3 linked regions of the Drosophila melanogaster genome follow. The protein of the gene in region 1 interacts with the protein of each later gene in a pairwise test. Each region holds a gene or a part of one and is shown in the gene's direction. Other genes may lie near its edges.

The links.
Region 2: the proteins of CG17991 (region 1) and CG6479 interact in a two-hybrid assay, tested with the Drosophila melanogaster proteins (one large-scale study listed by BioGRID).
Region 3: the proteins of CG17991 (region 1) and CG17564 interact in a two-hybrid assay, tested with the Drosophila melanogaster proteins (one large-scale study listed by BioGRID).

What each region holds. Positions count from the first base shown.
Region 1 is NT_033777.3:27,239,234-27,243,166, forward strand, and holds CG17991 (uncharacterized protein), read left to right. Parts: upstream 1-2,033; 5' UTR 2,034-2,098; coding exon 2,099-2,983; 3' UTR 2,984-3,097; downstream 3,098-3,933. Other genes in the region: PolA2 (DNA polymerase alpha subunit 2), read left to right, coding at 41-1,870; CG18766 (uncharacterized protein), read right to left, coding at 3,477-3,933.
Region 2 is NT_037436.4:17,337,186-17,341,331, reverse strand, and holds the start of CG6479 (uncharacterized protein), read left to right. Parts: upstream 1-2,069; 5' UTR 2,070-2,152; coding exon 2,153-2,175; intron 2,176-2,195; exon of another isoform or gene 2,196-2,220; coding exon of another isoform or gene 2,221-2,231; coding exon 2,232-2,536; intron 2,537-2,595; coding exon 2,596-3,203; intron 3,204-3,259; coding exon 3,260-3,589; intron 3,590-3,648; coding exon 3,649-4,011; 3' UTR 4,012-4,146. Other genes in the region: CG13727 (uncharacterized protein), read left to right, coding at 16-409, 539-1,053.
Region 3 is NT_033779.5:19,297,905-19,302,050, reverse strand, and holds CG17564 (uncharacterized protein), read left to right. Parts: upstream 1-2,117; 5' UTR 2,118-2,323; coding exon 2,324-2,436; intron 2,437-2,608; coding exon 2,609-3,063; intron 3,064-3,121; coding exon 3,122-3,409; intron 3,410-3,463; coding exon 3,464-3,615; 3' UTR 3,616-3,706; downstream 3,707-4,146. Other genes in the region: CG10750 (uncharacterized protein), read right to left, coding at 512-649, 704-993, 1,049-1,503, 1,566-1,678.

The sequences.
Region 1 (3,933 bases):
TTTATTTACGAAAATTAAACGCCCAACGAAAGGACAACGAATGGAGGAGGAATTGAAGCAGCAGTTCGACGAGATGGGCGTGGAGCCAGCGGACGCAGTTCTGGGCAGGTGTGCGGAGCTGGCCATTACCTACAACATCCACGACGCCACCGAGTTCGTGGAGCAGTGGATGGCCTTCAGTTTGTCGCACCTCCAAGGCGAGGATCCTGCGATCGAGAATCTGGGCGACTTTGAGCGCAAGGTGTTGCAGCTGCGGAAGGACAAGGCGGGATACAAGGCAACTGGCCAGAAGGCGAAATCATATGGTTCGCCCTCTGTACAGGATACGAGCTCACTGGCCACCTATGGCGTCATGGAGGACGATCCCATGCTGGATGACTATGTCAGCGAATCGGCAGTGGACTCCTCCGCTCTGCACACGCCCAAGGCCAAGAAGCAGTCGGATCGGACCGCCAATCTCAAGGGCGCCGCACTCTTTAGCCCCGCCAGCTATACACCCCAATCGGCAAAGAGGAAAGCAGGTTTAGAAACACCATCCAACTCAGTGGCCGGCAAGCCGGGCGATATAGTTGACACCTTCGGACATCCCAAACTCCTGGCTGGCTCCAGCTGGCAGTCACAAATGGAGCACACGGTTCCGGTGACTCAAAAACTGCTGCACAACGACGCCCCGCTGACCATCGCAAATTTGGGCTACATGAACGACCTGCTGACCGACCGATGTCACAACCTGCGCGTCCGCTTCAACCAAACCGGTCCGGCACTAGTGGACAAGAAACTTGGACAAGCAGGCGCAGCCGAGTGCATTTGGTATCCGCAGGATAGGCAGGTATTGCAGTCCGCAGGTGGACTCCACGCGGTGGGAATGATTCATTCCGAGGACGATGGCCCACTGGACGCCCACTCCGCATTTATGGCCGTTTTAGATGACGATGTAGAAGATGAAATGGACCCAACGCTCACGCTCAACTTCTCCAGGGTCAAGTCTGCCAGCATATTCCCAGGTCAAGTGGTGCTCGCCAAAGGGTTCATACCCAGGGGCAAAACCTTCATGGTAGAGGAGATACACACAGAGCGCAAACTGACGCCAGCAACGCCACTGCAAATAGACAGGGAGCTTCAGTTTGTGGTGGCCTCCGGACCCTTTACGGACAGTACGGATCTCTTCTACGAACCGCTGCACGACCTGCTCAAGTACCTCAAGGATCACAGACCTGACGTGCTGGTGCTCACGGGACCATTCCTGGATGCCGATCACAAGATGGTCGGCGAACTGGCCGAGACCTTCGATACATTCTTCGAGAAGATGATTGGGGGAATAATGGAGTCGATTGGTAGTCACACAGCAGTGCTGGTGGTGACCAGTCAGAAGGATGCCATGGCTCTTTCCGTATATCCAACGCCGCCGCCCGCTCTGCGCAGAACCTATCCAAATCTATACATGCTGCCCGATCCATCTCTGGTGGACTTGGATGGCTTTACGCTGGGCGTTACCTCAACCGACGTGGTGGACCACCTGTTGAGTCACGAGTTTGCTGTGAATGCCGGCGAGCGGATGCACAGGGCCATCAACCACTTGTTCCACCAGGGCTCCTTCTATCCTTTGTATCCGCCGGCGGACGAAGACATGGCCTACGATTCCCAGCTGGCGTTGAAATATGCACAGCTCAAACAGCTACCAAATGTGCTCATCTTGCCCAGCGATCAGCGGCATTTCATCCGCTTGGTCAACGACTGCCTGGTGATCAATCCCGGCCGTGTCGCGGACAAGAAGGGTGGAACTTTCGCCCGATTCCTGGTGGCGCCTTCGGTGCCGGGAAAGGCGGCCAACATGTTCAACAGTGTGGCGTGTCAAGTCCAACGCATCTAACCTGACCACTTTGTGATGATGATAAGGAAAGGATAGTGGGAAATAGATCAGTACAATATTATTAGTTAATATAATGAACACACTACTTTGTCATAACTTTTCACAAAATACATTCAACAACAAACAACTAGCATTAGTTATTTTGGGCCAAAGTAGGTATTGTATTATTTGTAAACATATGCCCTGGAGTTTTCTCAGACTCAAGTTTTATATACAACAAGATCAATAATGGCTAGCAACGTTGCTGCGCCACAAGCTTCAGCTGGAGGAGATTCGACGGAACTGGAGCGCTGTTGCTGGATCTGTTTTGAGACCGATAAGGAGGCAGGTCGCCAGGCTTGGGTGAATCCATGTCTCTGCCGAGGAACCAATAAGTGGGTGCACCAGAGCTGCATTTCCCTCTGGATCGACGAGAAGACCCGAATAAACAACAATCTGCAAGCCGTTTCCTGTCCACAATGCCAAACGGAGTACACCATTGCATACCCGAATCTCTGGATTTTCGATAGGGCTTTGGAGCTGACCAACGATCTTATCCTAACAAACTTATATAATTGCCTGGCCAATGTCTTCACGGTGGTCTTTGCCTATTGGTCAGCGGTTTCATTCGGAGCAAAAACATATTTGCAGATCACTGGTCAGGAAGGTCACGTTCATCAAATAATTCAATCGGGAGACCTGTTGGTTGTTCTGGTCGGATTCCCATTAATCTCGGTAGTTCTGATACTTGGACGCTTAATTCCCTGGGAAGATGCCCTGTTGCGCTTCATTAGAATATGTTATTCATTGCTGCGAAGTCTTTCAATGATGTGCCTAGGACGGAAATATGACCACCAGACCGAACCATACCCTTCTGCGCCAATGACCGAATATTCAGCATCGCGGGTGGTCTGTGGAGCCATCCTCTTGCCCACCATATCCATGTACGTGGGTAGAGTTCTTTACAGCTCTGTCGACGATAGATTGCAACAAACTCTTCTTGGGGGATTGACTTTCATAGCGATCAAGGGATTCCTCAAAATGTACCTCATGCATAGCCAATACATCTGTCGTATGAAGCGTCGTGTTTTGGATTACACGAAGGAAAACCTAGCGGAGGCAGACGGACACTAGGTAAACTCAAGATCTGCAAGAGAAGCAAGAAGTAATTTGAATATCTATTTAAATTGTAAAGTGTACAATTTTCCTAAGACTACGTGTCAATAGTGCATTCTTACTACCAATCATAAATAATCGTTAAAGCATTTATTAATTTATGCATAATAGTTTACAGCTAACAGTAGGAAATGGTGTCTAAATGTAATGTACTCCCTAGGATCTCTATGCACGATTGATCGATCCAGCCCCCTCTTTACGGAAGTCAACTCTGTATCGAGGGCGCGATCGTCGAGAACTAAAACTCCAATGTATATTTTAACTATACAAAAAATACTGTATGCCGTGTGTGTGTCCAATGAACTTGGCCGCAACTCAGATGCGGTTAAGTAACTGCGCGCCACCTTAAGTAATCCTCGCCTAACGTCTCACTTCGTTCGGCTTCTGTGCCTGGTTCCTGGAGCTGCGTCGTCCAACAACTCGTTCAGTTGTTGGGCTCCTGCTTGTATTGTTATTGTCGGTTGTTCACCCCCTCGGGATTGTGGCTGCTGACCATGCTGTGCTCCATGTTCTTCACGATCACATAGTTGGTGATGTGGTTGATGGCCTCGTCCTGCAGCCGCTCCGGCCAGCGCTTCATGTACGATTTGATGAAGTCGCCGAACGTGTCCACCTTATCGGGAGTGCTCTTGTGCGTGTCCACGATGTTCTTCACAATGTCCACGAACTTGTCGTAGTCCTCGTGCGACTTCTTGATCTTCTGGTAGTTGGCCACGCCTCCATTGGTGTTGCCCCCACCACCACCACTGCCACCGCTTCCACCGGCAGCCGTGTTCATTTGCTGATCCATGTTGTTATCCGCCAGGCGGGCTGAGGCAGCGGCAGCCACCGCCGCCACGGCCGCCGATGAGGCCATGAAGTTGTCCACGCTGCCGGCATTGGGTGGTGGCTGGGAGTGGTCCATAAAG
Region 2 (4,146 bases), on another chromosome or scaffold:
TCGCACTCAGTTAACATGTTCGCGTCCCAAGGGAAGTTACTTTTGGCCTTTGGCCTTTGCCTCGGTCTCCTTCTAACCATAGCGCACGCATCCGCACAGAACGCGTCCAAGGAATCAGAGTCCTGGCAGCCCATGCAGCCGCGGAAACGACAGGCTATCGTGAAACTGGACCCCGTGGGCTCCGCAGTAGCCAAGAGCTACGATCCTCCCCCGGAGTTCTACCGCGGACCGGGCTCATCGTCATCCAAGTTGGATAGCACTGCAGCTGGCTTCATATCCAAGCCCATTGGTGCGCTGCCGCCTTTTGGAGGAGCTCATGGCTCCCAAGCTAGTGACCTAAATGATAACCTTAGCCAGGCCTATGATAAGTGGAAACTAGGTGGGAATATACACGATCGAATAAGCGTGGGTGAGTTCAAAGATTACTCAATCTATATATTCTACAAAGATAAACTCAAACTTAAAATGATTAATATTTGAAATTGATGACTGTTGTTTATTGTAGATTTCATTAAAAATATATTTAATACTATTTAAGGGCATTATGGCAGCAGTGGAAGTGCTGGCAAAAGTTACGCCTATGACAGTCAACCTTATCAGTATGACTACGGACCATCCAACGGACATGGCTATGAGCCAGGACCTGCTCCTGGGCACACCTACTCCTCCAGCGGAGAGGCAGGGGTGCCATACCACGTTTATCGACCTCGACCCGAACATGGCCACTACCCGGGGCCAGCAGTGGATTACTCCTACAGCTCCTACCCCATCGACTCCCACGAGATAGTCTCCCACAAGGGATCGCCAGAGATCTCACCAAAGGCCTTGCTGGCCAAAAGCTTCCTGATTCCGCTGGCCAGTGCCACCGTTCTGGGCATCGCCGCCGCCCTGGTCAGTAATCCTCTCCTGCTGCAACTAGCTCCTGTTCCGGGGATCGGTGTGGGAGTGGGTGTCGGACCTACAGTCGTTGGCAAACGAAGAAGGAGAAGAAGGGCAGTGAAGCGGGCTTTACGATCAGGGAATACTGATGCAAAACTGAATAGCTCTATCTAAGTACCGTCCTCTCGAAAATGTATTAAATCAGGAAACAATATATAAGATATTATTTTTAATATATCATATAGTTACAAGCGTGTTTTTTATTTAAAGTCAGTGATGGCATTTAAATAATTTTAATAATTTAAATAATTTAAATTAAGGGTCTAATGCTACGAGAGCCTAATAATTAGTTGTCTATATGGAGAGAATAAGATAACGTAATTTTAAGTGACTTGTGGAACCTTTTGTAATGGCTATATGTAAGTTTTTTTTTTACATTAGATTGCGTAATTAGTCGACTGAGGTTCAAACCGGCTCGTTGGTCTAGAGGTATGATTCTCGCTTCGGGTGCGAGAGGTCCCGGGTTCAATTCCCGGACGAGCCCCAGTCATCCCAGTGCGCTAAGGAATGTATAATTTTTAAACAAAAAAGTTATATTTTATAAATATTTATTTTAAAATATTTTTAAGTTATTGAGAATACACATTTAGTTGCATGTGTACACAATTATATACAATTTACTTAGGGAATGAAATAAATTAAAAGTTATTTTATATCATTAAAAACAAACTAAATTAAATTAAATTAAGGAATTTTTTAGCGTCCTCATAAATGTTGCAAAATTGTTGAGTCTTCGGTTTTGTACGGCTTATGTCATAATATATTGAAGATAGAGAAAAAATTTGTTTAAAAAACAGCTAATTTTATAACTACTCTAAAAAATATTATAAAACACTGCATTTAAATGATAAATTAAAAGTTGCTGATAAGTAATACGTTTAGAGTGGGTGAATAGCTTTAAACATTCGGATAAACAAAAAATCATTTTAAAAATCATAAAAATAATTTTAGTTCTATTAAAAAATATGATATCATGGATATTGATCCATACCAAAGAAAACATCGCCGATAGGTGTGTGTCTTCGCTAGGGAAAGTGTCTCCGCTAAGGTATCTTGAGCCAACAAAGTACATAACGCGTTTCATTCCAAACGGTATTTATTTTTTGACCTTGTGGTATTCTAACTTTTTGTCTGTGCTATCACTTACAAACAAGTTTTCCCGGCATTTTCGACCTATTCAGGTGATTTTCTAATAATTATCACATAGTAGGCAATGAATTTTACACGGACTAATTGGTAAGTGACAGAAACTAGTGTAGAATTCAGAAAATTAACCCATGAATGCTCCTCAGCTCGCCGCTGAGTAAAAACCCAGTGGTGCAGCGCAGCCTGGACTTGCGATTGCAGGGCGCCCAAGCGCGGCATTACCTCAAGTGGTGCTCCATAAATGTGGTGCTGCTGTCGCTACTCCTCTTCGACCTCTGGCAGGCATGTCGGTCCGCCTACAGGACCTACTGGTTCCTGGCGGAGTGCACCATTACGACCCTGATTGGCCTAAGTGCACTCGCCTGCTTCGGCAAGTATTTGTGGTTATGGTTTGGTGGTGACCAAGTTACGGGTAGCGATATCCAAAAGTGGCTGCTTGATGGCAAGGCAGGTGAGGAATCCAAAGGAACCCGTTCTAACGCATCCACTTAACCACTTTTATTCCTATAGAGAACTCTTTTCGTACAGTTTGCTCCCGAGCCGTGATGAAACCACGCAGCTACGAACCGGATAGCGATATAGAGGACGACATACCCATCATCAACTGGCACTCCTCCTTCGAGGACTCCTGCTGGGGCTCGCAATCCATGCGCCGCAGCCCCAGTCCCACAAGGACGCCGCAGCAGACGAAACAAAACACCTCTTACAACTCCTCGATGGTTCGAAACAACTCGCTGAATGCCAGCAATCTGAGCAACGAGTCTACCTATATGTCCCCGTATGCGGAGGTGCGACGCGATGACTTCATGACCGATACACGAAAGTTGACCAGTCTAATGAAGCAGGCGGATCGGGAGCGCAGCATGATGGACAGCTCGGATACACCCAATGTGCAGAGCATGGGATCGGCCAACTCCTTCTGGAACTACTGCAACAATGCGGCCTATATGCTCAAGACCACCATCTATCAACTATCGCCACCTCCGGCTGTTTCTACGGAAAATGCTCCCACCTCGATTGAGGAGTTTGGCGGTATTCAGTTTAGGGACAGCAATTCGGAGGTCATCAAGCGCATATCCACGGACAAACTGTCGCAATATGTGGCCAACCTAAGATTTGTAAGCATCCCGTTCAATATTCCACTGCAACGTACTAATGTCTTACCATTTTCTAGTGGATTTCTACGACCATACTTCAGCGTTTGGTCAAAGAGATCAATTATGTGGACGATGTTTTCCGCCAGCGAGCTCTGATTGACATTAAAATTGGATCTGTGAGTGTAGAGAGATTACGCAAAACAGCCGAGAACCAGCAGTTCGTGCAGACGTGTGCGCCCATGTTGCCCATGCTCTTACCTTTCCTGGACACCTTCAGCAACCAGGAATACCTGGTGCAGCGCATCAAGGAGCTTGCGCAGGGCTCTTGCATAGCTGACTACCGCTGGTACTCGGGCAAAACACACAACGGTCAGCAGCGGGACGAGCATTTGCCCACCGATGCAGCTGTGAGTATACGAAATTCCGCAACTGAGCACTCTTGATTAATTGTAACCTCATTCTGCAGATAATATTCCATTTATTTTGCGTGTACTTGGATAGCCAGTTGATGCCGTTGCCGCAGGGCGGCGGACGACCCTTTCACTCCCGCTACGTGTTAATTCGCGACGAGAAGAGCTCGACCAAGGACGTGGTGAACGCAGTTCACAACAAGGCCCACTGCGCCATTTTAAGTACCGGCAACCCACTTAACCCTAAATTTAACTTTATCAGCGACAAAGAACTACACAACTGCGTCTACGATAGGAATAACCTGTTCTACGTTATCATACAGTTCCTAATTTATATGCGACAGCACCAGGACTCTGCTCTGGAGTGCGTAAATCTTGGCAAAAGTGGTATCAACATCATGTGCGTCATCGAAGACTGAACAGTGGAACTAGTGGCTATGACTTTTAATCCCACCCCTAATCACTCCTTACTTCTAAGCATGATCCTTTGTGACTCGACTAGCGTTTGGTGACTGGACAATCCTCATCATTCGTTACTATGAAATTATACATTT
Region 3 (4,146 bases), on another chromosome or scaffold:
TCGTGTGCCACTTGAAAGTTGCCCAGCCTCTGGTATCTCAGTCCTCGAATGCATTTCCTTTTTATCGGATTCCATTTGATTTTCTTTTGGGCACGGAACAACAATGCCCAACCGAATGTTGTGGGTTCTCTAGTTTTTTTTTTTTTTTTTTTTTTTTTTGGGAGGGCTGGCAAGGTTTTGGGGTTAGACAAATGTTATGGGTGCCATAAAGCTGAAGGTGGAGCGCCCATTTAAGTTCTTAGGAATGAGAGTAAATCTGAAAGGATGTAAGGCCTCTCGGTTCAAACAAAAAACCCTAAACAGTTTGGAGCTCATAAATCAAGTCGTACATTTATTCCTTCGCTACAACCCTTCTAATCTCTGATTCGGCTGAATTTTTTTTAAATATTTGCAGTAAAAATAACCCAAACGGAAATTAGTAAAAGCTATTTGAACTTCGTTCCATTAATTAAAGGATTTAAAATCATTTATTTATTTATTTATGCTCCATGAAAAATATTATATTTTCCGACTAGCACATACGTCCAGCGCCGACTTTATCGCCCTTATTGGACTCCAATTCCTGGAGGACCGATGAAAGAAGACTTATTTCGCGCATGATGAAGCTCATGATTTTGTCGATCTCATAGCTGTGGTAGCTGGGAACAATGTCTGCGGGGGTGGAGTTGGTACATCAGCTAGAGTCAAAGGATTTCAAGGACATACCTCGACGTTTGCAGAGCATGCGGTACAGGATTTGAATGCCATCAAACATGCGCTCCTTGTCCAGGTTGTAGAGCGACGTGGTGTCCTTGCAGGCACTTAGTATCTTTTCCCACTTGAGGCAAGTGGCCCGCGAGCTGACATAGGAACGATCCAAACGGGCCAGATCGTTTTTGAGGCCCAAAACGGTCAAGGCCGCCTCGCTGGTGATCTGAACCATTCGCAGGCGCATCTCCTCGATCTCGTTGAGTTTCTGGCTCTCCAGCTTATTGATCTCCACCTGGGCCAACACTGCACAACAAAAACAAATTTAGAATGGAAATTACAGGAGGTGTGGAGAACCCACTTAGAGCGTCACATCGATCGATGCAGTCTTTCGTTGAGATGAAGATGTCCGACACCTCGACTACCTCCTCCAGGACCCTCTCGTATGGCTGAAACTGAGCCACCGTGGCCTTGAGCGCATTGCGAAAGGTGCTCAGTTCGGCAATGGAGGTCTTGAACTCGTCTATCTCCTTGGTGACCTCCGCGTGGAGAACGGTCTCCTCGCGAATCGACTTATCCGCACTGCGCTTTTTGTCCGCACAATCCTTGATGAATCCATTCACCTCGACGAAGCGTTTGCGCAGGCGCTCCTGAATCTTGTACATCTTGCGAATGCGCTGCACATTTAATGCGGCTTGCCGCTTGGCATCTTTGAGTAGCTGGATCTGAACCTGCTTCATGGCGTCGTACTCCCGGAGATTGGCTATGTACAGCATCTCGATGTTATCCCCGGCCGAATCCCAATTGGGCGGTTTCCTAGACCATCCAAGTTTCATTAATAGTATGACTTACATATTGTAGTTGCTCTTTTAGCTTACACGAAGAATTGGTCCTGCTGGCGAGAGACGCGATAGTCATCGATGGCGACCTCTGGACTGAGGTCCAGATCCCCGATCACATCGGTCTTAATGGTGGGCTTACGTCGCGGCATCTTGTCCTATTAAAATATAATCTTTTCAAATATATTGATATATATTGGGGGAATATCTATTGGAGAACGATGTGTGATGAGTAATTCTACATGTATATGGGCAGACAGCACAGTCAAGGATAAAAGGATTAAACCATTTTTTATTACTACATTCAGATATTTATGCAATTGCTGACGTTTCCTTCATAAGTACGACCAGTCGTTAAATCAAGTAAAAACAATTGAAAAGATATCATAATTCTATAGTTGTTGATTAAAAATTAATCATCATCGAGTATCAAGAGTATATTAGGTTCGGCTTGCCGAAGAAGCTTCCTATTTTGTTTTTTCGAAAGAAACCAAATTGTGCAGTTACCATGACACAAAACTGGTTACACCTTCTCAACCATTGCCACGGTAATAAAAGAACCTCCTGGCAACCAATTGTTTTTATGTGTCACCCAAATAAAAAACATGTTCCAAGTAGGTCTTGTTAATTTTTATTACAAAACAATAACACACTTTGAAAAGTAAGCACACAGCACACACAACTACTACTACAAAACGCACAATCCGCGCTGTATCGCGGTAACCAAAGCAAAAAAAAATATAAAAAACTAACAAAAACGTACACTTGAGCTTTTACTTTCGGCAAAGAGATCCAAGATGCCCCGCGTGAAGCCCACCAAGAAGCTCGATGTTCTGGGAAATCTGGACCTGCGGCCGGAGGATGCCGTGGGGGACTATATCAGCTCTAAGCAGCAGAACAAATTCTTCGTGTAAGTAGTGAATCCCACACTGAAAAAAGGCTGAAAGAGAAGTACCCAATCCTAAAATGATCCTGGTAGTGCAGTTTGAGATTTTTGAGAAATTTTACAGCTTCGTAATTTACTGTTGCAAGGATGTCTCTATCTGGTATCAATTATTTGACCTATTCGTAACTTCCTGTAGAATTCCACCGAACTCGGACTCTGCCGGCGACTCCATCGAACTGATATATGTGAACAATCTCCGCGAGCACGAAGCCATGCTCAAGCTGCAGGAGGAGATGCTGACCAGTGCCAAGCGGCAGACCAAGCTGAACTCCGCCCGGGTGAGGAACATGTACAAGATCCAGGAGCGGCTGAGGCGGCGCTTCATCGAGGTGAACAGCTTCATCAAGGACTGCGCGGACAAAAAGAGAGTGGCCGAGAAGACCGCCCAAGCGGAGACGCTCAACCATAAGGAGCTCGGCGAGGGCATTGAGAGCTTCAAGGACTCGATCGGCGAACTCAAGGCCTTTCGGGAGGCTCTCAAGGCCACCGTGCAGGAGTTCCAGCCCTACGAGAAGGTGCTCGACGAGGTGGTGAAGGTATCCGACATATTCGTCTCGCCAAAGGACTGCACCGATCGCTGTGATGCGCTGAGTGAGCATTGCTAATTTATAAAATGAAATAAAGTTATTAATTTTTTTTTGTTCTACAGTGCTGGCTCAAGTGGAGATCAACAAGTTGGAGCATCAAAAGCTCCAGGACATCGAGAACATGCGGCAGCGTATGGTGCAGATCACAAATGATGCGGCTCTAACTGTGCTGGGTCTAAAGAACGATCTGGCCAAACTGGAACGATCCTACAACGAGTCCAGAGTGCAGTGCCTCAGATGGGAGAAGATCCTGGCCAAGACCAAGGACGCCATCAACAACAACTACATGGACAAGGAGCGCACAATAGATGCGATTACCAACCTTCACCGAATCCTTCTACGGCGAAGAGGTTAGTCAAAAAATCTTGCTATTATTAAATAATTTATTCATTTTATTATTTTAGATGTACATTCGTTTCCCGCTCGCGGCGACTTGGACAAGGTGTTGGATGCCATCATGGGCGAAGTGGAAATATTAACTGGCGTTGTAAAGGAAATCGAATCATCTGATCCCTCGATAAAGCACGAGGAAGCCAGAGATAAGTCGCTGTGCTAATTGGATATCAAAATTCAAAGAGTTCATAGGGAAGACTAGGCACACCTCACAGCTATTACAACTATAAAAGCTTATTAAAAGCGAAACTTTTAAAACGTTTGTTTGTTTCTATAGAAAGAAGTGCTTTGTGTGATGGTTCGCTGCTCTTAGCCTGCTCCTGCAGCTTGTGGCAATTGTTAATTGTGCTGAGCTCTGCATTCGGTTGTTAATGCCACTTTCTAATTGCTTTTACCTCATAAATCTTCTCCGCTGCTCCTCAATGCCTCCGTCCAAGTGGATGGTCCGAATTGGGGTCCTGGAGCGGCTTTCGTCGCGTCCTGCTCTGCAGTCATCATAAGTCACCGAATTGTCGGGCACTCAAGACAAATGTGACACTTGCTTATTTAATTAGAGATCTGCAGGCGGGATGGAAGGCCAGTACTTAAGCTCCAGAGTCTGTGCATCAACTGGACGACATTTAGCGCTAACTGCGCCAACTTCGCTTGACGGCTTTTTAATTACGTCAGCCCGGGAAATGTTCCTCTTACCACT